Linked DNA regions of Sus scrofa. The protein of the gene in region 1 purifies or fractionates together with the protein of each later gene. This does not show direct contact. Links are inferred from orthologs where the notes say so. Each region holds a gene or a part of one and is shown in the gene's direction. Other genes may lie near its edges.

Region 1 (3,500 bases):
TCAGTTTTTAATTTTTTATTACTTATATGTGTGGGCACTGAGTGCAAAGTGATAATATTGTGGATTTTGATTAAAAATTATAACAATACATGCTCATGATGAAATATTTACAATAAATAAGGTGTTCAAAGTAAATCTGCCCTTTCTCCATTCCTACTCTCCAGAAGTAACCTTTATTTCTCAGTGTGCTTCCAGAAAGTACACACATATTTAAAAATATATAGACACAGATTTTTTTCTTTGTATTAATGGGTTCACACTATATACATACTTTATTTGCAACTTACTTTTTTCATTTATTAGTATATCTTGGGCAGTTAGTAGTACAAATCTGCCTTACTCTTTTTAGCATTTCATGGTATTTCAAAGTAAAGTAAAGATGTGCTGGAGTTCCTGTTGTGGCGCAACAGAAATGAATCCAACTAATATCCGTGAGGATGAGGGTTTGATTCCCGGCCTTGCTCAGTGGGTTGGGGATCTGGTGTTGCTGTGAGCTGTGGTGTAGTTTGCAGAATGTGGCTGTGGTGTAGACTGGCAGCTGTAGCTCCTATTTGACCCCTAGCCTGGGAACTTCCATATGCTGCAGGTGAAGCCCTAAAAAGAAAAGAACACAAAACAAAACAAAGATGTACCATCATGATTTAACCAGGTCTTTTTTGGTGGACATTTAGGTTGCTTTTTATTGCTGTTATAATCAGTCTTGCAGTAAGCATTCTTATATATATCTTCGTGAAATTATTGGATCTAAGGGTATATATAAGTATTAAGTGTTTTGGTAGATGTATCCTGATTGCTATAAAAATGTTCTATTTATACTTCCACTAAGAGTAGGTGAGCATTCAAGCCATATACCTTGGATTTAGATGGCAAAGTAACTTGGTATGTTAAGGTATTTCAGTTGGATAGACTTCAGATTCAGTCCATTTCCTGCTAAGTTTCACAGGGTAGATCTGTAATTGAGGTTGATTGGATTTAAGAGATTTGGAATATAGCCCCTGCATGGGTGGATGGGACTTCTGATTGATTGTAGGTGAGTCTCACAGCTGATCAGTGCCTTAGTTTCCATCTCTGTAAAAGGGGATGATCATTTTGCCCTATGCTTCATGTGGGGATGGATGGGAGAATGAAGAAAGATATTTGGGTTTTGTTACTCTTTTAACAAAAAATTTACGCATTGGCTTTCTCTAAAAGAAGAGTGTTAAAGTTGATTGTTATTTATATCCTTAGGTGTATAGAGGTGAAGGAAGTAGCTTTTCCTCTTTTGACTTCTTGGCAGAAGATGCCTCTACTTTAATAGTAGGTCACTGGGATGGAAGTATGTCTCTAGTGGATAGACGGACGCCTGGAACTTCTTATGAGAAACTTATCAATTCTTCTTTGAGCAAAATAAGAACTGTTCATGTCCACCCAGTGCATAGACAGTATTTTATCACTGCGGGATTAAGGTACGTTCCTCGTAACATTTTATGATTTAGGCCTTTTAAGGATTTAACATTTTTAATGTTAGAAGTAATGTTTTAGCTTGGTTGTCAAACTGACTTTTTTTTGGTGACACAGACCAAATAATTTTCCTTTCTACACTGACTGAGGAGGTTTTTTGTTTGTTTGTTTGTTTGTTTTAGTGCGTGTTTTTTTTTTATGAGCGATTCTTTTGGACTTAATAAATAATGAAAGTATTGAAACAAATATACATTTTTGTTTTCCTTGACTTCATTTATTTACTTCTAGTCTTTTGAGAAGAAAATTTGTAAAAGAAATAAAAGTTTTATGTGACCTATAATTTCTTAGTCTGTTTTAAGTCTTTTCTTGGAGAAATTAGAAAGCCAGCTAGAATCATACCTCTCTACACCCACATGGTTACATATATATGCTATAATTTTGGAACATTTATAGTTTTTAAAAGTCTGGAGTTCCTGCTGTGGCACAGTGGGTTAAGAATCTGGCTACAGTGGCTTGGGTCACTGCTGAGGTGTGGGTTTGATCCCCAGCCCAGTGCACTGAGTTAAAGGATCTGGCATTGCTGCAGCTACAGCATAGGTCACAGTTGTGGCTTGGATTCAATCCCTGGCCTGAGAATTTTCATATGCTGTGGGTGCAGTCATAAAATAAAATTAAAAAAAATCTATACTATTGTTTTAAAAATTAATACAGAAGATTAACATGTTCGATCTTAATTGTTCTTCAGTGTAGTAAGGATTTGAGTGTCTAATTTATGTTAAGCACTATTGTTCATTCTGTGTACTGTGGCAACACTGAGAATTATTCCTCCCATTCATTACAGGGATATTCATATTTATGATGCAAGGCGCCTGAATCCCAGTAGAAGCCAGCCTTTGATCTCTTTGACTGAACACACAAAAAGCATTGCTTCTGCCTATTTTTCACCTCTTACTGGTAACAGAGTAGTAACCACATGTGCGGATTGTAAGCTAAGGTAAATTGGGAAGACAAAAATAGGTTGTTAAAGAATTTAGAGTGTTTGTTACTTTGGTAGCCAGTAGCTTTGTTTATTATTGCTCCTTATTAAATCACTAGCATTGTTGTTTTGTAGCTGTATCTTGGCTCCCAAAGATCAATGCCTTGTATTCAATGGCTTTTCAGCAATTTGGGGATCTGTAAATTTCCTTGAGATTGGTAAGGGTGGTCTGTAGCTACCCCAGGGAGTTGATGTCAGGCTTTCCTTTTAGCACTGAAATTCCAATGAAAGAAGTCTTGTGATATGTTGGAAGTGAGATAATTTTAGCCTAAGGAGAAGCTCTTATAATGGGGATAGTGGGATCTACCTTGCAAGTGAAGTGCTGAGTTGAAGTTGCAGAGCCATGGGTAGCCAGTAAAGATAGCAAAATTTGGGTTTCTACACAAACTACTGGGTAAAATTTTATGGTTTTAGCCTTGGTACCTTTCTGTAGCTACTTCCTAAAAATGGATTTTAAAATGTAATGTAAACCAATTGAACAAAAATAGAAATAATGCCAAGTAAAAAAGATGTGGAGAATGTTAACGCAATAACAAAGGAAATGATTTTGTTCTCTTCTAAAATCCCTGACTTTGCTTAACATTGCAAGCATTTCTCAGTTCATGACTTTTTCCTTAAGTGATTTTGGAACTCATTCATTGTTCATTCAACAAGTGTCTGTGAATGTATACTGTGGGCCAGGCTCTAGAAAGGCACCTAATTTCTATTTAGTCTCATTTATTGGAAGGAACACGGTCTATATGTATGATAGGTGCCCAGTTAATTTCTAGTAATATCTGTGAGCATTACCAAGTAGTACATTAAGAGATTTAGTCACCAGATGTTGGCACCTCAGTGTCCCCTTTCCACCCATGAAATTTTGTCTTAAGAGCTTCTTATTTTTCCCATTCTTGTTCATTTGCACTGCAGGGTTAACTCTTATTACATTAGCTGTTAATGATTTGGCTTTCTAGTAATCTGATTAATTAATAAGCTCTAGTACCAAGAAATTGCAAAGGAATAGCTAGGCACAAGGAGAAGGGGA
Region 2 (4,046 bases), on another chromosome or scaffold:
TAGCTTTAAGTACTGCCTTTTCAAAAGGCCTCCCAGACCATCCAATTAATTCACTCAATGAATATTTGTTGAGTGTTTCCAGCACTGTTCTAAACCCAGAATAGTGAACAAAACAAGACTCTTGCTCTCAAGGGACTCACATTCTAGCTGGGGGAGACAGACATTAAACAAGGAACCATATACTCAATATGAACAAAGAACATGCTATGAGGAAAAATAAGGCAGACTGGGAGAGTGCATTTTATGCAGGTGGCCAGAGACCTATTCTTTGATATGAGGTGAGATTTCAGTAAACAGCTGAAGCTGCGGCCTAATCCACAAAAACATCTGAAGAAGAGCATTTGGAGAAGACGGGACAGCAGGTGAGAAAGCCTGAAGGACCATCAGTTATTCTAAATACCAGCTCCCTGTCTCCTGCCTACCACATCACAGTTTCCATATGTTTCGCATATTTATGTTTACTTGTTATCTGTGCTCCCTCGAATATAAGCCCCAAGTTGGGCAGGTATCTCCCAAGTCAATGCCGATGTCCCTGGTATTTAGAAAGGTTTCTAACTATACAAAGGTGATACTCACTAGTGTTTGTAGACCCTGTAATCATTGTTGCGCTCAGTAATGACAATAACCCACTAAATGTTTTATTAGCCTTTCTATCAGAATCCCGAGAGCTCCGTGAGGCAGGCAAGGATAATGGTTCTCATTCTACAAATCAACGTGAGACTCAAGAGAAAGGAAGTGAGAAGAGTGAGGAATAACTAATTTTCAGGAGGGTTTTGAACAACAAAGGTCTCAGGGCCTGAGGCAAAATTCGGAGGGGGCGCGGTTAACCAAGAGGCAGGTTAAGGCCGTGATGACCCAGAAAGAGGCGGCGTGACAGGCCACTTTCTCGTGAGTTTGGGAAAAGCAACCCTGAGCTTGGGGAAAACAACCCTGGTAAACAAAGCTGGGCACACCCTGGCCTGGACAGGGAGAAGCCGCCCCAGAGCGAACTCTTCAGAAGATACTCACCTGGTCCACGTCGTCCGCCATGTTTCAAACCCTGCGCCCTTTCCGTCCTCTCGCGAGGGCACGAGAGCTGCTCCCTATGCCCACCCCAGTCTCCGGAAACGTGAGGACTCTATGCACTGGAAGTAGAAAGAGGTTGGTTTTACAGCTTCTTGCTTCCTGCAGCTTGCATTGGTCCCTTTGAGGCTGGGGCGGAGCTTCAGCCTGGGCGCAGGCGGGAATCTACCGGAGGGGGCGTGACCAGGCCCTGCACCGCCTGGGGGCGGGGCCGCGCGCGAGCTGCGTCCCGCGGAGACGCGGTGCGTCACGCTCTAGGCGAGTCTTGCCCGGGCAGAGATGGCTCCAAAGCGCTCGGCGGGCAGGGCGCCGCGGGGGCGCAAACTGCGCGGCCAGAAGGCCAAGGGCGAGGGCAAAGCCCGGCGCGAGGAGAAGGAGGCGGGTATGAGCCAGGCTGAGTTGGGGTTGGTAGGGAGGGTGGAAGAGGTTTGGGTGGGGGTAGCAGGAGGCCGGCTTCCTGGAGGTGTGAGCGAGGCATCCTCCCTCCCACCTGCGCTGGGGGCGGTGTTCCGGAGGCCTAGGGAGGCTGGGGGTGTGCACGTGCCCAGGTGCTCCCCGGCGGCCCTGCGCCTTTGCTCTCCTGGCCAGAGGTGATGCGCCCTGAGACGTTCCGCTAGAGCCCAGCCGACCGCGAGTTCCTCTGCGTAGCCTCTTTCTGCTCCTTTTCGCCCCCAGGATGCAGGCGGAAGCAGGGGGCTGAATATGTGAAAGGTACTGCTATTATGTTGTGTCGCCACGAGACGAAGGGACCAAGACTTAGAGTGCTGTGGTGTGTGGAGAGTCCCAGATTTGGATCCCACCTGACAACGTGCATATCGAGTAGGCTGCTTATATTTGTCATGCGCAAAGCAAAACACTTGATTTCCCCTTTAAACCTATCCCTTTCTTACTTTTACCCCATATCAGTCTTTGACCCCTTCATCACTTGTTAAAACAAACTCCTTTTCCCTCCAACACACATCCAGTCCTTCAGAAAGCAAATCCTATCAGTTTAACCTCAAAACCATATCTCAAATCTCTCCACTTCTCTGTTTCCATGGCCACATACCCTGTCGAAACCACCATCACTTTTCAGTTGAACGACTGCAGTTGCCTCTCTACGGGTCTCCCTACTTCTTTTCATCCCCCTGGAGGAGTTTTCTGTGCTGCAGCGCAAAGTACCTTAAAAAAAAAAAATCTGATTTTGCCATGCTCCCACTTCAGACTCTCTGTGTCTTCCCATTGGCATAACAGCCTCCAGATTCCTCACCTTGGCCTACAAGACCCTGTATGATCTGGCTGCTGCTGCCTCTCCTGTTGTCTCTTCCTAGTCTTCTTTGCCAGGTACCTTCCTTCTTGGCCTCCTCACACACACCATGTGATTCCTCACCTGAGCCTCTGCCTAGAATATTTTTCCATGGCTTTGCTGTAGCTGACTTCTCTTCCTCCTGGTCTCAATCCAGGTATTCCTTGAATGTCCTAAGATGGTCTTTTCAGGTGCACCTTATCACAGCTTCTGTCACATCTGTAATGACCTTGTTAATTTATTTGCTTCCTGTTTGCTCTCTCTTACCAGAATTGAAAGTTATAAAAACATCTTAATTTTCTTATCTTGTTCTTTTCCCCTTCCCTGCATATACCAAATGCTTGATAAATAGTTTGTCATTGCATAATACATGTATGCTGTAGAAGGGATTTCTGGGGTTCCTGATATAACTGGGTAGACAGTTAAACTAAGTCACCAGCAAGGTCTCCTGTGACACTAGATTCAATAATTCTGTGATTCTGTACATATTATAAGGCCATCGTCCATTAGGAAATAGTAAAACAGTAACCATTTATAAACTTAAAAAGTGATTCATCTCACAATTAATACTGTGAGTTCCGTTTTATTCACTTAGTCATAAAATAAACATTCCTAATGTGTCAGTACCTAACGTGTGCTGCACACAAACTGGGAGACATGGGACTTAGAGCTTTCTTGGAGGAGCTTAGGGTATGGTAGTGTTGACATTTACAAAAAAATTTATCCAGGACAGTGGTATCATGGAAGATGGTAGGAGGCTTTGTGGCTGGTGAAGGAGTAATTAGGAGAGCTGGGAAATGAATGTTTAACCTGCAGCTTTAGGGATAGGTACTACTTTAGTAAACAGCTGGTAAAGGAGCTTGTCATTCTAATCAGGGAATGTATTTGGAATACATGGCAATTTCAAAAATTTTTTCTAATTGAAGAGGTTTGGAAATGCCACCTGCCTGAGTAGCATTCCCCCATCTAAACACTTCACCTTGTCACCAGCTTGGCATAGTGCCAGTGCTTAATAGTTATATGGGCTTGCATAAATTAGCTTGGGCAAATTAATTTCATCTCTCTGAACCTCATGTTTGACTTGTGGGGTGGTGGTGAGTTTTTCCTGAGAGCATGTGAATCTCCTGGCATGGTCTGTGTGAGGTAATCAGATGGGCCAGCTCATATCAACTCAGCCTGAACATAGGTAGGGGATTACTTAAGCCTCACGAAAATTATGAGCCAGTGCAGCTAGCATAAGTTTCTGAGGCAGCTTCTGGGAAGAGTTAGCATCTTTGCTGTGTTTGTGTAGAGGAGCAGTTTGGTTGTGGTTTTGGATGCAGCTGACACTGATTTGGTGACTCGTCAGTGTAGTTTCTTTGGTTTTTTTTTTTTTTTTTTTTTTTTTGTCTTTTTGCTATTTCTTGGGCCGCCCTTGCGGCATATGGAGGTTCCCAGGCTAGGGGTCGAATCGGAGCCATAGCCACCGGCCTACGCTAGAGCCACAGCAACGTGGGGACTGAGCCGCGTCTGCAACCTACACCACAGCTCACAGCAATGCCGGATCGTTAACCCACTGAGCAAGGTGCAGGGACCGAACCCGCAACCTCATGGTTCCTAGTCGGATTCGTTAACCACTGCGCCACGACGGGAACTCCCTCGTTAGTGTAGTTTCTGACAGCACCATAGTGTGGGTTTTTTTTTTATTTTGTTTTGGTTT
Region 3 (4,069 bases), on another chromosome or scaffold:
GACCAAAAATAACTAAGTAAATAAAGTAAAAATAAATTTGCAATCTCCTGGGATGGATCATGATGGGGGGAAAAAAAAAGGAATGGGAGTTCCCATTGTGGCTCAGTGGGTTAAGAACCCAACTCATATCCATAAGGATGTGGGTTTGATCCCTGGCCTCACTCAGTGGATTAAGGATCTGGCGTTGCTGGGAGCTGTGGTTTAGGTCACAGACAAGGCTTGGATCTGGCCATTGCTGTAGCTGTGGCGTAGGACAGCAGCTACAACTCCCTAGCCTGGTGACTTCTATATGTCTCAAGTGCGGTCCTAAAAAGACAAGAAAGAAAAGAAAAAAAAAAAGATGTGTGTATATATATACATATATATGTATGACTGAGTCACTTTGCTGTACAGCAGAAATTGGTACAATGCTGTAAATCAACTATTTTAATTAAAACATTTTTAAAAAGAATATCAACCCTCTATGACTGTTTTGCAAATAATTTTCTCAGTTTTTCATTTGTTTTACAATATTTTAATTATGTCTTTGCAGCATAGAAAACTACCCAAATTTAGGTAATCAAAGTTACGAACTTTTTCTCTATTGTATCTCCCTTTAATTTATGCCTAGGAAGGCTTTCATTTCTAGAATCAGTTACGTATAAACCAACATTTTATTTTAGCCCATTTTATTGTTATTTTAAAAGTCAAATCTTTAATCCATATGGAAGGAAAATTCATTGCAAAGAAAATAAAACTATAGTTAGTATAGAAAATATAAACTTGTATTGCTTGACTTGTATAAAGAACAATGGAAGGATAAGTAAGAAATATAGGCAATGGGGGTGAGGTAAGCAGGGTAGAGAGGACAGGGATGGAGGCAAGATTTTGCTTTGCATATTTCGAATTACATAAATGTGTTAAAAAATAAATTTAAAAATCTTAATTTTTTGGGAGTTACCATTGTGGTGCAGTGGAAACTAGTAACCATGAGGTTGTGAGTTGGATTCCTGGCCTTGCTCAGTGGGTTAAGGATCCAGCATTGCTGTGAGCTGTAGTGTAGGTCCCAGACGCGTCTCAGACCCTGCAGTGCTGTGGCTGTGCCGGCAGCTGTGGCTCCAGTGCGACCCCTTGCCTGGGAACCTCCATATGCCTTGAGCGCGGCCCTAAAAAGAAAAGAAAAAAAAAATCTTAATTTCTTTGTAAGCAAGATGTCTACATTTATAAACTCATAGGTCTAGGAAACGTTCAAGTTGAGACAGATAAAACTGAAAAACAGATAATTCTGAAACAATTTAATGAAATTTTGCTAAAGTAGATTAAATCGAGTTTTCTTTTTTTTTTTCTTTTTGCTTTAAGAAAGCGATCAATCCTTCAGGCCCTGAAATTTAGAGAGAAAATGTTAGAACTCATGATTAGGCTAGAATTGGAAAAATATCCAGTATCTTTTAATATAATTAAAATCACGTAATAAATCATTCTTGGGTTTGTGCAGCCAGATCACACAAGATTTGAACTGTTTCAAAGTAATAATGCTGGCTGATGTTAGAAGAAATTTAAATTCCTGTGGACTGGGTTTAAAATTATTAAATCTGAAATTCTTTCTTCGTGCCCTCTGGAATTCACTGCCCATCAAAATTCCTGTAGTCTCAAATCCTCCTGTTAACAGTCTCTTTACTTTCTTATTCAAATGGAAATCTGCAGCCCTCTTAAACTGTGGCTATTTTTCCACCTTTCCACTGGGCCAGGAAGGTGACTTCAACTAGAACCCAGAGTTTGCTACCATAAAGTAACTGTTGCAAACTTTCTTTCCCAATCCCTGAGCCCTAAGTGATTAGGTCCAATTCCTTAGTCTACCTAGATATTGGAATTTCAAATTTAACTCTGCCAAAATAGACACTTATTTTTATTTATTTATTTATTTTTGCTTTTTAGGGTCACATGTGTGGCATATGGAAGTTCCCAGGCTGGGGGTCGAATCAGAGTTGCAGCTGCTGGTCTAGTATCCTCTGGATACTAGTTGGGCTCATTACCACTGAGCCACAACAGGAACTCTCTGAAATAGAGATCTTGATTCACCCTTTTCATCTCTATAAAAACTTCACTATCACTTTAATGCCTCAAATAAAAAAATCTAAAATCATCTTGAGGAGTTCCTGTCACAGCTCAGTGTGAACAAATTTGACTAGTATCCATGAGGACGCAGGTTCAACCCCTGGCCTCAATCAGTGGGTTAAGGATCCGGTGTTGCTGTGAGCTGTGGTGTAGGCTGCAGATGCAGCTTGGAGGCTGTGGTGTAGGCCGGCAGCTATAGCTCCTATTCGACTCCAAGCCCAGGAAACTCCATATTCTGTGGGTGTGGCCCTAAAAAGACAAAAAAAAATAAATATAATAAAATCACCTTGATATTTCTCATCTTTCAAATATCCACATCAAATCCATCAGCAAGTCCTATAGGACCAGGACCCTTAATCAAATGATAGTATCACATTCCCACTGACATCACTGATATCCCACCGTCAAACATTATCAACTCTCCCCTGCACACCCTCAGAGCCCTTGTACCAGTCTCATAATGGTCTCCACTTTTAAATCCAATCCTGGTATGGTCAAAAGATTGTTGTGAAGTTCCTGTTGTGGCTCAGTAGTAACGAACCCAACTAGAATCCATGAGGACACGGGTTTGATCCCTGGCTTCACTCAGTGGGTTAAGGATCCAGTGTTGCTGTGAGCTGCCGTGTAGTTCACAGACACAGCTCAGATCCCAAGTTGCTGTGGCCATGGTGTAGGCCGGCAGCTGCATTTCTGATTTGACACCTAGCCCGGGAACTTCCATATGCTGTACATGCATCCAAAAAGCAAAAAGTAAATAAATCAATTAATTAAATAAAATTAAAAAAAGAAAGATTGTTGGAGTCAGAGTATCGGAGGGAGTGGAAAGATAGGCTGTAATCAGTGAACGAGATTAAGGAGAGTTTACGATGAGAGAGTCATAAAACCATGGGAGTGGGAGTTCCCATGGCTCAGCAGAAAGAAATCGGACTGGTAACCATGAGATTGCAGGTTCACTCAGTGGCCTCACTCAGTGGGTCAAGGATCTGCCGTTGCCGTGAGCTGTGGTGTAGGTTGCAGACACTGCTTGGATCTGAAGTTGCTATGGCTGTTGGGTAGGCCAGTGGCTACAGCTCCGATTCCACCCCCAGCCTAGGAACCTCTATATGCCTTGGGTGTGGCCCGAAAAAGCAAACAATTAAAAATTAAAAAAACTAAAATAAAACCATGGGAGTGAGTAGCTCCATGGCAACAGAGGGCAAGACCACTGAATGTGAGTTCAAGGAAGTGAGAGGCCAGAGTGTTGGATCATCCAGGTATGTATTTCAAGTGAGGAATTAAGATAGTAGTGGAGTTGGAGAGTAAGCCAAGAGTTACAATTTTCAAGAAATTAAGAGGGATTTTAGGGGTCAATAAATTGACAATGCAATGTTGTCAGGAGATGTTGTCAGGTGACTAAAGACTAAAGGCTCTTGTGGTGTAGGTCAAAGACGCGGCTCAGATCGCTCAGATCCTGCGTTGCTGTGGTTCTGGCATAGGCCGCAGGCCGGCGGCTCCAGCTCTGTTTCGACCCCTAGCCTGGGAAACTCCACATGCTGCAGGAGCGGCCCAAGAAAAGGCAAAAAGACAACAACAGCAACAACAACAACAACAACAACAACAACAAAAGACTAAAGGCTCTATGTGTTTAGGAATGTGGGAGGGAGATTCACCCATCTCATCTCCAGGCTTTACTTCTATAACATATACCAAATCCATTTCCTCATCTCCATTTTTACTGCTGCCATCCTAGTCCTTTCTCCCTCTCTCTTTCGTGGATCCCTGCAATTGAGCTTCCTAATTGATGTCCTTGATCCTTGATTACCAACATTTTACAGCATCTTTGATACTACGACTTGTTTTAACCAGATTCAATTCACTGAGAAAGAAGGTGACTGATCCCTGGAAGCTCCCACGTGGCCCAGTGGGCTAAGGCTCTAGCGCTGCCACAACTGTGGTGGAGGTCACAACTGCTGGACAGGTTTGATCCCTGGCCCAG
Region 4 (3,500 bases), on another chromosome or scaffold:
GTCATTGTTAGGTCTGAAAGACTTGGGAGTAGCATTAAGGTCTTTGTAGTGGGGGAAGGGGAAAGGTAAGATTTGTGAGTTTCTTAGAAAAGTAGAAGAAAAAAATAGTTCACGTGCGTGTAGACCAAACTATAACTCCCTGGGGAGTAGGGGGAATCTGGGGTGGGTAGAGGTAATAGGATGGGCAGTGGAGAATTTATGCTCTTGGTGACCATTGACATACTCATCCTCATCAAGAGAAGCTTCCTGCCCAGGCAATCAGTACTTTTCACAGATGAAGCTACAGTTTATGTTAATATAACAAATAATAAAATTAAGTCAAGAAAGGGTAATGATAAGATGAAATATTTACTACAAAATTATTTTGAAATACTGAAGACTGGGTTTTTAAAGGTTAATCATTGGCATAATTTTCTAATTACATTATAAATTATTGTTCCGGGAGTTTCCGTTGTGGCCCAGTGGAAATGAATCCAACTATCTGTGAGGATGAGGGTTCGATCCCTGGCCTGCTCAGTGGGTTAAGGATCTGTCGTTGCCTTGAGCTGTGGTGTAGGTCGAAGACACAGCTCTGATCCTATGTTGCTATGGCTATGGTAGCCTGGGAACTTCCATGTGCTGAGGGTATGGCCTTAAAAAAAGGCAATAAGTAATTGTTCCATGGTGGCACTTTACTTTTTTTTTTTAGGGCCGCACTTGTGGCATGTGGAAGTGCCCAGGCTAGGGGTCGAATTGGAGCTGCAGCTACAGCTGCTGGCTACACCACAGCAACACCAGATCCCAGCTGCATCTTCGACTTACACCACAGCTCAGGGCAGTGCCGGCTCCTTAACCCACTGAGCAAGGCCAGGAATCAAACCCACTTTTTCATGGATACTAGTTGGGTTTGTTACTGCTGAGCCACAATGGAAACTCCCCATTATGATACTTTAAAGCTTTAATTAATTTAATCTGAGCAGGATTTAAGGCAGCAGATAGATCTAAATTAAGCACAGTGTATTTTAACTAAAATATTAAATTTAAAGTTAAATTTAAGAATTCATATTTATAAAGTCTTTAGTAAGTTACCTATACTTTAATTTGAAAAATTGAATTTGAAAAGAAAACCAAAACAAAATAATAAAGTCTTAAGTAGTTTCATCTCCCCATTTGTAGTACTCATTTCATTCAGTGACTCCTTACTGTAATCATAGTAGTATATTGGTAATAGCAAAAGAAAAGCTGTCCTGAAAGAACTGAAATAGTTTTATGAGTCATTAACATATTATTTCCATGGATAAGATTATGGGTGATTTTTGAAAGAGTTGTAATTTTCCTGTAATTTGCATGTATTACTTTCATTAGATTTATTCTTAGGTATCTTGTTCTCACTGCTTTTATACTAGGAAATGAATTTATTTTGATAGAAAAGAGATAACTGTCTGTGAAATATGAGCCAATATACAATGGTATCTGATTTGGAAGGTCAGGCCTTATTAACCACTAATTAACACACTTACACACTCTTCTTCCTCCCAACCCGAAAAAGTGGAAACGCTGGTTGGTAAGATTTGTATAGATTTACCTCTCACTTGGCTTGTTCACCTCACTTAATGCTTTTCTTTTGAGTTCAGGTTATAGCATTGGGTTGGCAAATTATGAACTGGATTTGGCTTGCCTGTTTATGTAAATAAAGTTTTATTTACATATTGTCTATAACTGCTCTTATGTAGGAAGGCAGATTTGAGTCTTTGCAGTATAAACCATATTTTCAAATATTTAAATATTGGTTCTTTGCCCCTTTACAAAAAAAGTTTGTGGATCTTTATAAACTATTCATTTTTTTGTTTTCTCTCTTGTGCCCTCTGCTGTTCTTTTAGAATGTTTTAACTTTTATTGTGAATTGAGAGAGGGTACCTCCTCAGCCACTAGACTGTTGTATACTCTAACAAACCAATAAATAAATGGTGTGTAAAAATAATATGGAAAGCAGAGGTTTCTAAATGGAAGGTGTACAGAAAGTGAAAGATAAAGCTAAGAATATGAAAGTTAAAGCTAAAAGGTAAAGGCAAAGCTTGGGCAACATAATACTCAGGAGGAAAGCTTATAAGAAATTAATAGATTTAGCATGTTGAAAAATTTTGACACTGTAGTTTTTAAATTCTAAAAACATGTTCTAGGCTCTAGCTAGTGAGATTATCTTTTAATTCCAGTTTCTTTCAGATAAAACTGATGTATGAAAATTTTCTTTTCTGAAACCATTTGATTGTTTAAAAGCTTAAATTCTACTGCAATTAAATATTTACTTTCTAAGTTTAATGTCAAATATTTCAAAGTGGACTTTCAACTCTGTCAATGCCAGTAACAATATAATCAGTGTATGAAATTTCAATATTTTGTTATCCAAGCTATGTCTCACCAGATAGTTTATTGAATCCCAGAATCATGATTTATAACTATTCTAGCATTTTGTTTGTTTCATTTTTAGTAAACGAATTTAAAGTTATAATAGTATTTTTCATTACAGGAAATATATTAAACCTACAGAGCATTTATTCATTTATTTAGCCAGCTTTGTTACATGTTATGCAGAAAAATTAATGTATGTCAGAAAACTTAATAATTATGGAAACTTTCTCTTTGGATAGGCTCGAATGTCTTGGGATAGAGAGTCTGTGGATATTAGATATCGTAGACTTCAACATTTGCTTGAAAAAAGCAATATTTACTCCAAATTTTTATTGACTAAAATGGAACAGCAGCAATTAGAGGTATGTATATGTGATTGATTATACTTAATAGCATGTTTTTTAATTTTTTTGTCTTTGCCATTTTCTTGGGCCGCTCCTGTGGCATATGGAGGTTCCCAGGCTAGGGGTCGAATTGGAGCTGTAGGCGCCATCCTATGCCAGAGCCACAGCAACTCGGAATCCGAGCCTCGTCTGCAACCTACACCACAGCTCATGGCAACGCCAGATCCTTAACCCACTGAGCGAGGCCAGGGATTGAACCCACAACCTCATGGTTTCTAGTCAGATTCATTAACCACTGAGCCACGATGGGAACTTCATAAGTTTTTTTTAAAGAACGGATTTATTGAGATATAAATTACATACAATAAAACACGTACATTTAATTCTCAAGTTGAATGAGCACAATCAAGATAAGGAACATTTCCATCACTCTAAAAAGTTCTCTTGTCTAAATGATCTCTGCTTCTGGCCCTGGACAACCACTGATTTCTGTTCCTGTTATTAAATTAATATTGCTTTTTATAGAATATTATATAAATGGATTCATATGATAAGTACTCTGTGTCTCAGTGTATTTTTGAGATTCACCTATGTGTGTTTATTTAGTAGATCATTTTTATTCTGAAGAAGCATTCCATTATATGAATATACCAATGTTTATTTTTCTATTCACCTGTCGATGGTTTTTATCCTATGCAGTAATGTATTTAGACGCTAAAAATTGAATTTTATGCTGCCCAATCCCTTTTTTTAAAAAGTGCTTTAATT
Region 5 (4,172 bases), on another chromosome or scaffold:
TGCAGGTGAACTCATACTCTCTGGGTACTCCTGGATCTCTTCCGGTGTTCTCCCCTCTCCCCACCATTACGGAGGTCAGAAAACCAAGAGTTACCTTGAATACCCCTTCCATTTCCCATCCAGAATAAATACCTGTCAGCTTTGCTTCCTAAATGTCTTTTCTCTAGTCCGAGCTACCATCACTTCCTTTCTGCCTTCCCTCCCAGCCATTTTGCCTACTGCAACCAGAGTAATCCTGCAAAATGCAAATCTGATATTGTTCACTCCCCCCCACGACAGCCCATTTAAAAACTGTCCCTGGGACAGTTTAATCTACTACTTTGAACACATTCTTAAACTAGAGAGGCTGTAAGCTCAAGCTAGAGACTTAGCTGGAAGTTGGCAAACAGGGATCTAGTCCTAGCTGTCACTGACTTGGTGCGTGGCCTCTGTCACTACTTCTCACTAGGTTGGTTTTCCAGTCTGTGATATGGGATAAATATTCTTGGATTCACAAAGTTCAAAAGAAAGAGGCTGTGAAAGCACTAGGTAAGTTACTAGATGTAACGGATCTGTCATGAAGTCTGGAAAAGGAATGAAGCTCTAATTGCAGACCTTGGGGAGACGGACAACAGAGGAGGTGCAGGGAGAAGAGGTAAAGACAGGACCCCTCCTAAGTATGTGTGGAAGATCCTGCTGACTCTCTGAAAAGGAGGCTCTACTCTGGGTCTTCCTGCCTGGAAGGAAAGGGGCCGTTCAAGCCCCAGAAATTTTCCTACATCCCCAGAATTAGAGACTTTTGATTTGCTCTAATCCCACTCCCATGTCTTGCAGAGGGTCTTCTGTTGATCAGAGGAAAACCAACCCTATATCTGAAGAAGTTTCAGATCTTCCAGAATGTGTCAGGGACTTGAGACAGTAGTATTAGGGGGTCCTATTCTGTGATGATGGCGATCTTAAGCACCCCCACATCTGTATGGGTATTTATCTCCGCCTTCCCCCCCCCCCCCACGAGCCCGTCTATCCCATATGGGTTTGTGCCTTGTCGTTGTGAAAAGGGTTAAGACGGGGTTGTCTCAGATCCCCGAGGAGAGAAGTTCTTAGTTTTTCCTGCGTGCCCCTCCCCGCTCAACTCACCCGCAAGTGCTTCCCCGCCAGCCTCAGCGTCCTACTATCGCAGCGTTACTCGGCGCAACTCCATGGTAACCACCTTCGCCTACAAGTCCCGGCTGGCGCGGTAGGCGCTACCGCGATACCTTCCGCGAGCTGCAGTTCGTGGCGGGTGGGGGCGCCAAGGCCGCGGGTGGTGCTGGGACTTGTAGTTGCTTTTGCCCTCAAGCCGCGGGCCGGGCTCCGGAAGTTGTGGCACCCTTTCTCCCTTCCCACTTCCTTTTCGCGGGTCCTCCAGCGTGCCCTGGGCGTGCGACGCCAGCCGACACGGACCAATCGCAGGGCGGCGCGAGGGGGCGGGGCCATAGTTTAAACTAATTGTGCGCTCGCCTCGCTGGCGCGAGCCCGTGGCGAAGGCGATCCCGGGTAGGCGAGAGGCGGAGCGGGAGCGCGCGGCCAGGTAAGCGGCGCGGGCCCGCTGCTGGTGTGCGGCCTGGGCGCCCGCAGGGAAGCCGGGGCCTAAAGGGGGTGCTGAGAGACGGGTGCGAACGGAAGGCCTCGTTCCTCACCGAGGCTGAGTGGGGAGAGTCTGTCGCGGGTAAGGGTTGTGAGGAGAGGGCCTTGTCCGAGGGGAGGCGGCGGACGTGCTTCGGGGGAGGGCCTGCTCGGGGGCGTGTCCGTGGCATCGAGTCTGCGGGCGACGGGGTGCGGGTGGTGCAGCTTCCTCAAAGCCTGTGGCCGCGGCTTCCTGTAGTAATGGTCCTCGCCCGTTACTGCTAACAATAGCGGTAGTACTACTAGTAAACAGTTCCCGAGCACCGACGACGTTTCAGAGGCTGTGCCACGCCCGTTATGTGGATCCTCTTTTAAACAGTCCCGCAGCTTTGTCACACTTTACTACAGCGGGGCCCTTCTGAGGTTTATGTTCGGCTTGGCCGGGGTTGTATAACCAGTGCGTGGTTGGCTCCACTGGCGTCTTTGTGGGTGGGGCCTGAGTGGGAAGGAGGTGCTTTATTGGCAGTGAGGGTTGTCTCGGACGAGTCAATTTATTGTGAGCCTCACTTTTTCACGTGTGGTGTAAACAACGAGTTTACGTGCCCTTACCTACTTTCCTGGGGTTGTTGGACGGGGGGTGGGGGGTGTGCGGGTCAAATTAGGTAAAGTGTTTCTTTGAAGCGTCTCGGAGAGTACACATTCATGACCATAAGTGATGTGACCGTGTGAAGGTTATTGGTGCAAGAGAGCTCCTCTGGGTGGATGCTGCCCCTTCTGGGCCCCCTCTTTTGCTCACCCCTAAGGTAGCGTTTTTCATCTGGTGTTCGGAGTGTCTGCGCATTTGTCTGCCCTACTAGATAGAGACGGAATATTTTGCCCCTGTATCCTGATGCCTGTGCAGAGTGTGAAATGTATTGTGGCCATTAGTTAACATATGCTTTGAAATGAATGAGCTTTTTTGGGCTGAAAGGGGATAGGAACCTGGCTTTCCCATCTTTATTTAGTGGCTTTTGCATCTCTGTATTAAGTTAGCCTCGTGCCCAGAGTGGCACTGCCTCCAGAAAATATACTACTACTTACTTTAAACCACGCTGCCCTTTCTCTGGGGTCTGTTGCCAGGTCCTGCGTTTCTAAGGCTCTGGATTGGCAAGTGTTGTGGCCAGAAACCTTGGATGGGAAGGGAATTGGAGCTCTCTGCCTTGTGGAGATCTTTCCTGCTGTGAATTGATGAGAGCCTAGAGAGAATGTTCAGATCAGGCTAAGGCAACTTTTAGGCAGCGGGGAAGAGTATATGCATTCCCTCCCTGTCTCTTCCTGGGTGGTATTTTCTCCTTCAGAGGAAGAAACACACACTTCTCTGTAAAAAGCTACAGGGTACTCTTTTCTTGGCCCAAGTTCAAGCAAATGATGACTCATTGTAAAGCCTGAATCTTAATTCAAAGCCAGAAACGATAATTCCTCAAATTAGAACACCTTAACCGAAAGCTCATGTAAGGAATATTTCCATTTAGCGTGTCCTTTAAAAATTTTTTATTTTTTATTTTAATTAATTTTTTTGTTTTGTTTTTGTCTTTTTGGGTCAAGATCTAGATATGTTAGGATGGGAAAAGCACTGCCTCAGATGGCTGAGTAGAGTTGATCAGGGAATGTTTGACAGCTGGGTCTAATTAATAAAACCCTGTGGTCAGTAGGTATGTTGGGGGTCATTTATTTCAGCCTCTTATTCTGTACTCTAAGCATATCAAAAGGTATTGTCTAGACTCAAAACAGCACTTCTAAGAATGAGAACACCCCAAAGGTACTCTGTCTGTGTTGAACGATTCTGATAAATCACAATTATTTTGTGCTGTCAGTGATTATTTCATTTTACCCATTCATGTTTACTGTTTGTTTCCACGATTCTTTCTTGCATTTTATTCCCTCTTTTTGTGTTGGGTAGGTGAATACATCCTTCAGCTGTTTTCATAGTGAGGGTCGGTTAGTGGTAAATACTCTGTGGTGGGAAATATCTTTAATAGGGTTAATAGCTTTAATAGGTTTAATCAGTCTTGATTGGTAGTTTAGCTGGGTACTAGGCTTCCAATTCTTTTTTTTTCTTAGCACTTTGAAAATGTTATTAACCTAACCCTAACCCCATACCCTAACCCTAACCCTAATGTTATTTTACTGAAACTCTGGCATTTTGTTGTTACTCTTGAGAACTGTACTCAAAATTTAACTATTATATCATTGTATGTAACCTGCCTTTTTCTCGGTTGTTGTTGTTGTTTTTTTTTTTAATATATATTTTTTTAGGGCTGCACCCACACATAGGGAGGTTCCCAGGCTAGGGGTCGAATTGGAGCCCCACCCCAGTAGTTGTGTTTTTAATTTTTTAGGAATTTCTATGCTGTTTTCTATAATGGTTCCACCAGTATACTTTCCCACCAGCAGTACATAAGGCTTCACATCCTCCCAGGACTTGTTATTTGTTCTCACTTGTTTTATTTTATTACTTTATTTTACTTTTTTGTTTTCTTTTTATGGTTGCACCTGTGGTGTATGGAACTTCCTGGGCTAGGGGTTGAACCACAGCTGTAGCTGCAGAC
Region 6 (2,791 bases), on another chromosome or scaffold:
GCTATGGTGTGGGTCTCAGACAAGGCACAGATCCCATGTTGTTGTGGCTGTCGCGTAGGCTGGTGGCTACAGCTCCGATTAGACCCCTAGCCTGGGAACCTCCATATGCTGCAGGAGCGGCTCAATAAAAGGCAAAAAGACAAAAAAAAAAAAAAAGATGGTATATACATATACTATCAGTGTATACATAGAGGTGTGAAGCTAGACTGCTTGTATTTGAATTTCAGCTTGGTATTTGTCTGAAATACATAACCTCGGAGAGAAACTAAACGTCTTCCAACTTCAATTTTCCCATTTCTAAATGGGATAATAAATTAAACCTATCTTATTAAGGTTGTTGCGGAAGATGAGTCATTTTGTCTAAAGTGCTTCAGAGAGTGCTTGGCATATAGTAAGCAGTCAACTTAAATATTTTGTTTTCTGTTAATTGCTGCTTGTTAGAAAACAGATGTTGAACCTGTTGTGTGTTTAATTAATGTGTATTTATGTACATAGGTGGTGAAATTGCATCTACCTTTGACCACCCAGAGCTAGTGAAGCTTGGAAGTTGCAAACTTATTGAGGAAGTTATGATTGGAGAAGACAAACTCATTCACTTCTCTGGGGTAGCCCTGGTGAGTGATTATGTAGATCCTGGTTTGGGCTCTGCCGAAGTGAAAGTTATTGTAGTTACTAAAATATACAAAACATGGTTTGTGTTAATTTCAGTCTCTTGAGGGCAGCCTCATGGTAACCTTATCTTTGTGAACAGTATATATTCAACATAATTGTTTTAGATAACTTAAAACTTACAGGAATATGGATTGTTAGCAAAGAATACGTAATAGTGGAAGACATGTCAGTTTTAAAAACCAAATAATATAATTAATCTGCATAGTAGAAGGCAAATTTTATGTTTCATAACTAAATGTTCACTGTGACATAAAAAATGTGTTTTTTTTTTAACCTTAGGTGAGGCTTGCACCATTGTTTTACGTGGTGCCACTCAACAAATTTTAGATGAAGCAGAAAGATCTTTGCATGATGCTCTTTGTGTTCTTGCCCAAACTGTGAAAGATTCTAGAACAGTTTATGGAGGAGGTAAGCATTTGAAAAATACTGAGCATATTTTTGACTTCCCTGGTGGCCTGTAGCTTAACTATGTGGTGCTGTCACTGCTACAGCTCTGGTTCATTCCCTGGCCTTTTCACATGCTCCAGGCGTGGTCAACTCAAAAAAAGAAAAATGTTAAGCATATTGTATTTTTTAAAATGTAGTAATGCTTTTGGCTTTAATAGTTCTTATAGAAACTTTACATTGCCTTTGCACTTAATTTTCAAATGGTTAATGTATTTGAAGGGAAGTCAGTAATTTAGTGTTTTCGAGACAACTAAGCAAAATGATGTGTTGTTGGAACTTTAATCCATAGGGTGTTCTGAGATGCTCATGGCTCATGCTGTGACACAGCTTGCCAATAGAACACCAGGCAAAGAAGCTGTTGCAATGGAGTCTTATGCTAAAGCCCTGAGAATGGTAAGTTAATGAAAAAGAGAGACCTGAACTTAAATTTTATAGGTATTGTTGGTTTTTCTATCTTGGACAGAAAATGTTTACTTTCTTGGCTTTAAGGAAAATTGGTTCACACTACTTAAATCTGATTTCGGAGTTTTCTTTATGAGCAATAATTAAAAGGAAGCAGATTTACATTGTTTCTAAATGTGTAATTTTAAAAAGCTTTTCTTCTGGTTTGTAAGTTAATTTTCTTTTAGTGGAGTAGTTACCATGTCTTTTTCACTTCATAGTTGCCAACTATCATAGCTGACAATGCAGGCTATGATAGTGCAGATCTGGTTGCACAGCTCCGAGCTGCCCATAGTGAAGGCAATACAACTGCTGGACTGGGTAAGGAATAATTGGAACCTTGTAATAGTTGTTAATAATAATCTATAAAATATTCTCGTGGCCCTTGCCTTTATAACTGTTAAACATCCTAGGAAAGTTTTTTAACTTTGTAGTTTCAGTACTGCTAAAACTTAATTATTCTTTAAGGGGTATAAAACTAGTTAGGAGATTTGTAAATAGTTTATTATGTAATGACTGTAAGATTTAAATACATAAAAGAGTTTTTATATTCTGAAGTAACTAAACTTAACCATATGTTTTATAATCACTGTTAACTCTTAATCTCACAGTAAACTTATTCTGAGCATTCTTGAGTGATGCATACATGAACATGGCCAAAAAACAGATCTAACTCATTGGAGAGTTTCCCAAAATACTGTCTAGACATTGAAGGAATTCTTAGAGAGTTGATAATCCTGTCACTGGAGAAGATAATCTGCCAGAAGATGAAGGAGGACTCTAACAAGAAGAAAAGTACATGACATAAATTCTTTTCCAGTTCTTAAGAATCCATGGTGTAATCAATGATGAGCAGATTTTCTTCAGTTTTTATTTATAGTTGGATAAATGTGGATAATACAGTGTTGTATATAAATTTTCCATTATTTGATAATAGTTGCCCTCTATTAATACAGATGACATTTTCTAAATCGCTTTCCTTGAGTGGTTGGCTGTTGAGAGTGTTCTCAATAACTAAATTGAATAAATGGTTGTAATTTTATTTTTTATAAGTGAGGATTAATTTTATTATGTCATTTGGTATGTTGATACTTTAGTTGTTAAGACTATAGTTGTTTATTTAGTAAATACTTTTCAGATATGAAGGAAGGTACCATTGGAGATATGGCAGTACTGGGTATAACAGAAAGTTTCCAAGTGAAACGACAAGTTCTTTTAAGTGCAGCTGAAG
Region 7 (3,500 bases), on another chromosome or scaffold:
AAGTAGCAGTGCTCACCAAGGCTTGGAAGGTTTTCTTTGTTTGGCGGGCGTGTTCGGGAGTATTTGAAGGAGAACTTCCTGTTTGGATGTTTCTCGCTCTCCCCAAAGGGTCTTGCGTCTCCCTGTCCAGGGGGCCCAGCCTGTCTGCCCAGCCTGCCTGCTCTGTTTCATACTTCGATTTTGTTTGGTAAAAAGGGGTCTTCAGAGTACGGAGATGAGAAGCTCTGGAATGCAAGAAGGGGGATATTGTGAATGCATAGACCTTTGCTGTTTTTAAAAACCTGAGTTTTGACCTGAAATCTCAACTGGCTCAAGAAAGCGTTATCTCTTGGTGTCTTAGATCTGTATGTCTTAGTCCTGCTTGTCTGCTTAATGGGACAACAGAAGCTGACATTCTGGAGAAGGGCTTTGGGGAAGGCTGTCTTGGTGTCACGCTAGTTGTCACGCAGAGGTGCAGGCGCTCCTGGAGAACCTGCGCTCGAGAAGAGCCGAGCTGCTCCTCTCAAGGCTGGGAGGACCTGTCCCCGTGATACCCTCCCACTGCGAGGGGCTGTCAAGGGAGGATGGGTGAAAGTGGTCAGCACATGGGGAAAAGCCCAGAAAATGGGAGACAGGGAGACACCGAGGGGCCAGTTTGAGAAAGTAAATTAATTTAGAGCGAATTCAATCCCGAAGTGATGGAAAGAGACCACTCAGCCTCATGTGCATCAGGCCCAGTAGAAAGGGTCGCGTCCTTCCGTGGCTCTGGGCACTCGGTGAGCTTCGTCCTCTGAACCTGGGCGTCATGCCCGGCCTCGGGCCCCGGGGCTGGGGGCTGGGGACTGTGTCGTCCTCAGAGTCTTCCTGGGGAACCTCCCCTCATGCTGGTCCCGCGCTCAGACCTGAGTCATTTATTTTTCACGTTGCTCTTTCCTCGTTTCTGGGGGGTGGGAACCTGGGGGGCAGGTGGAGTCCCCATGTGACGAGCAAGTCGCATTTGGAGCAGTCATGGGGACCTTGGCGGCCAAGGTCCCCAGCTCTGCGGGAGATGCAGGGCGTGTCCGCAGGCTGTGGTTTCCCGGGGCCGTTGGTTTCGTTTTCCCTCTTGTTCGCGATGTAACTCGGAGCCTTGCCTGCCTTGCCCTTGAGGCCTCGGCCCCCAGGTGCCCCCTCCCCCCAGCTGCCACCCTGTGGTGGCCTTGCAGGCGTCCCTGCTGAGCCCTGAAAGGTCCTCTCGGGACCTTTACCACTTGTCTGGCTGATGGAGATAAGAGCGCAGGAGGGCGTGGTGGCCTGAGGACGCTGATGGAGGGCAGGGGCCACGGTGCAGGAGGGCAGCTCCACCCTTCTAAAGCCCCGGACCCAGGCGCCTCCGTTCCTGTCCCTTTGCTGCGAGGACCAGCCGGGAGGAGGCATTTCCGAGTGTCCCCGTGGGCCTCCTGACCCCACGGTGGAGGAGCCTCCTGTGCTGCTCCCCCGGCGGCACAGACCGTCCTGCAGCTCCCTGGCCCTGCGGGGAGGAGCGGGCTGGCCTGTCCTCTGAGGTGACAGGGTGCCTGTAACATGAAGACACCAACAGTGACTCAGCAAAAGGCCTGGAGAAAGGACGTGGCCACGGTGAACCCGGGTGCTCCAGGGCTTGGCCAGTGGTTTCACAGGCTCCTCAAATTCTCAATTAAAAAATAAATCCCAGTGGGCTTCGTGTGAATAGTAAGCGTGTGCCAAATCGGACACACAAATTCAGCACAAAGCCACGAGTCGGAAAGAGTGTTTTGAATACACCAACACCCAGTTCCAGACCTGAGCTCCGAAAATGGTTCTCAGACGTCCTCCAAGGAGCCCGAACTGCCGGCCTAGCTTGATTCTTACCAAAGAAAACCCCTGTCTTCATGCAGTGTTTTCACAACTGATTCTGTAACAAGCACGCCTATAACGACTGACCGCTGGAGCAGAGCCTTTGTTAAGAGGTTATCTTGGGTTTTTTTAAGGAAGACGACGACAGTGTGTCTTTGACTGAATTATAAGAACATGGAGAGATGGAGAAAGGAGGCAGGGATGTGGAAACAGCCGCGGGCGGGCTCCCTGGAGAGGGAGACGGCACGAGGGAAGGTGGGCTTCGGACTCCCTGCGTTGGCGCGGGCGCGCTTGCGACCTTATGCCACTGCACGTGGCCTGGGCAGTCGGGGTTGCTGTGTCTCTCTGCAGTAATCATTTTCTTAGTATCTACAAAAATCGAGGTCGCCCTGTTTTCCCCTTAGACATGCAGTATTTGAGATTCAAAGTTTCTCCATTCTGTATATTCCCCATACTTTTTAAAAATAGTTCAAAAACACACAGCAGAAAAACTGCATTTCTCTTTTTAGTATTTCACATTTGGATTGAATGAGAGGCTGGTTTTGTTCATGACTTTTGGGAAAAGAGCTAGTAAGACTATACAAGCGTAATTTCTTTGACGTGGATACAGATTTTTCTGCCTCAAAACTGTGTTTCTTTGTTAATTTAAGGCAAACTTCAGTGACTCCCACATCCGGCCTGTGGCACCCGGCTTTGGGGCTTTTTCAAAACCTCAGCTCATTTTGGGCAGAGTCGTCAAACTCATGGGAGTAAAAGGAGCTGGGTTTCTGTTGCTGTTGTTCTGACACTGGAAGGTGTCGCCGAGGGTCCCCCGCCCCGAGGACACGTGGTCGTCCCCAGGGTGGACCACACACTGCGGTGCCTGGGGACTGGTGTGCAGCCAGGGGCGAGGGCGCACAGGAGGGCCTGGGCCAGCCCGGGCCGTGCCCTCTGCGCCCTGTTCACGGCCCTGCGAACTGTTCTTACCCACCTCTTAGTGGGTTCCAGGGTCCCAGCAGCCACTGCCCTGAACGTACCCCCGTGTCTATCGGTAGGTTACGTGAGTGTGGGGCTGCCTTTCTGTCATGATGACAGCTCTTTTTACAAGTAAATTTTTGTGAAGAACTAATTTTTCATTCATGGAGAATAATTCACTTACTCCTTTGTTTTCAGGCTGTTGAAAACCTTTGTTCTCACAAAGTCGCCCCAACACTCTACCAGCAGCTGCGTGAGGCCTGTGAAAGCCACGTGCAGGCCCAGATTCTTCAGTTCAGAGAATATCCTTTTCTGGCTTAGGAAGTGCCTGTTCGTTACCTAGATCTTGTGACACTGAGCACGATAGGGTGAAGAGCCAAGGAGTATCCTTGATGCTGAACAGAAGCTTTTAAGATCCCCTTTCTCTGGGGAGCCAAACGCCTAGATGTATGTCGTCCGGTGGAATTTCACCACTTGAGTGACTTTGCTGATGGCATTAAAGTGAGAGTGCCCGTTCCCGAGTCTGGTTAGGAGTAGTAAGGAAAGGCTCTGTAAAAGGCCTTGAAGTTGGAGCTCTGCTGCTGTTTGTTCTTGTTTTTCTCATTTTCTGCGACATGCAACCAGTCCCCACAAACCTGGCAGCTCCCAGTCTGCGGGCCAGAGGCGAGGCTGGCTCAGTGGTCCTCTCTCCTCGCTGGCGGGACCCAGGCCTG

Evidence for each region.
Region 2: the proteins of WDR76 (region 1) and XPC purify together in Homo sapiens (affinity purification with mass spectrometry; 3 studies listed by BioGRID and IntAct, with this or other methods). This does not show direct contact. The link is inferred for Sus scrofa from reciprocal best matches to the Homo sapiens genes WDR76 and XPC.
Region 3: the proteins of WDR76 (region 1) and DNAJA2 purify together in Homo sapiens (affinity purification with mass spectrometry; 3 studies listed by BioGRID and IntAct, with this or other methods). This does not show direct contact. The link is inferred for Sus scrofa from reciprocal best matches to the Homo sapiens genes WDR76 and DNAJA2.
Region 4: the proteins of WDR76 (region 1) and HELLS purify together in Homo sapiens (affinity purification with mass spectrometry; 4 studies listed by BioGRID and IntAct, counting the BioPlex papers as one, with this or other methods). This does not show direct contact. The link is inferred for Sus scrofa from reciprocal best matches to the Homo sapiens genes WDR76 and HELLS.
Region 5: the proteins of WDR76 (region 1) and NUMA1 purify together in Homo sapiens (affinity purification with mass spectrometry; 3 studies listed by BioGRID and IntAct, with this or other methods). This does not show direct contact. The link is inferred for Sus scrofa from reciprocal best matches to the Homo sapiens genes WDR76 and NUMA1.
Region 6: the proteins of WDR76 (region 1) and CCT2 purify together in Homo sapiens (affinity purification with mass spectrometry; 4 studies listed by BioGRID and IntAct, with this or other methods). This does not show direct contact. The link is inferred for Sus scrofa from reciprocal best matches to the Homo sapiens genes WDR76 and CCT2.
Region 7: the proteins of WDR76 (region 1) and CUL4A purify together in Homo sapiens (affinity purification with western blotting; 3 studies listed by BioGRID). This does not show direct contact. The link is inferred for Sus scrofa from reciprocal best matches to the Homo sapiens genes WDR76 and CUL4A.

Annotation. Positions count from the first base shown.
Region 1 is NC_010443.5:127,664,858-127,668,357, reverse strand, and holds part of WDR76 (WD repeat-containing protein 76), read left to right. Parts: intron 1-1,227; coding exon 1,228-1,445; intron 1,446-2,281; coding exon 2,282-2,434; intron 2,435-3,500. UniProt on the Homo sapiens protein: Specifically binds 5-hydroxymethylcytosine (5hmC), suggesting that it acts as a specific reader of 5hmC.
Region 2 is NC_010455.5:70,347,595-70,351,640, forward strand, and holds the start of XPC (DNA repair protein complementing XP-C cells), read left to right. Parts: upstream 1-1,246; 5' UTR 1,247-1,341; coding exon 1,342-1,444; intron 1,445-1,737; coding exon 1,738-1,881; intron 1,882-2,110; exon of another isoform or gene 2,111-2,208; intron 2,209-4,046. Other genes in the region: U6 snRNA-associated Sm-like protein LSm3, read right to left, coding at 1,009-1,029. UniProt on the Homo sapiens protein: Involved in global genome nucleotide excision repair (GG-NER) by acting as damage sensing and DNA-binding factor component of the XPC complex. Has only a low DNA repair activity by itself which is stimulated by RAD23B and RAD23A.
Region 3 is NC_010448.4:37,582,743-37,586,811, forward strand, and holds the start of DNAJA2 (dnaJ homolog subfamily A member 2), read left to right. Parts: upstream 1-1,269; 5' UTR 1,270-4,069. UniProt on the Homo sapiens protein: Co-chaperone of Hsc70. Stimulates ATP hydrolysis and the folding of unfolded proteins mediated by HSPA1A/B (in vitro).
Region 4 is NC_010456.5:105,960,503-105,964,002, reverse strand, and holds part of HELLS (lymphoid-specific helicase), read left to right. Parts: intron 1-2,627; coding exon 2,628-2,750; intron 2,751-3,500. UniProt on the Homo sapiens protein: Plays an essential role in normal development and survival. Involved in regulation of the expansion or survival of lymphoid cells. Required for de novo or maintenance DNA methylation. May control silencing of the imprinted CDKN1C gene through DNA methylation.
Region 5 is NC_010451.4:6,660,167-6,664,338, reverse strand, and holds the start of NUMA1 (nuclear mitotic apparatus protein 1), read left to right. Parts: upstream 1-1,372; 5' UTR 1,373-1,549; intron 1,550-1,572; exon of another isoform or gene 1,573-1,687; intron 1,688-4,172. UniProt on the Homo sapiens protein: Microtubule (MT)-binding protein that plays a role in the formation and maintenance of the spindle poles and the alignement and the segregation of chromosomes during mitotic cell division.
Region 6 is NC_010447.5:33,868,514-33,871,304, forward strand, and holds part of CCT2 (T-complex protein 1 subunit beta), read left to right. Parts: intron 1-495; coding exon 496-636; intron 637-951; coding exon 952-1,080; intron 1,081-1,408; coding exon 1,409-1,512; intron 1,513-1,781; coding exon 1,782-1,881; intron 1,882-2,698; coding exon 2,699-2,791. UniProt on the Homo sapiens protein: Component of the chaperonin-containing T-complex (TRiC), a molecular chaperone complex that assists the folding of actin, tubulin and other proteins upon ATP hydrolysis.
Region 7 is NC_010453.5:78,563,530-78,567,029, forward strand, and holds part of CUL4A (cullin-4A), read left to right. Parts: intron 1-2,985; coding exon 2,986-3,089; intron 3,090-3,500. UniProt on the Homo sapiens protein: Core component of multiple cullin-RING-based E3 ubiquitin-protein ligase complexes which mediate the ubiquitination of target proteins. As a scaffold protein may contribute to catalysis through positioning of the substrate and the ubiquitin-conjugating enzyme.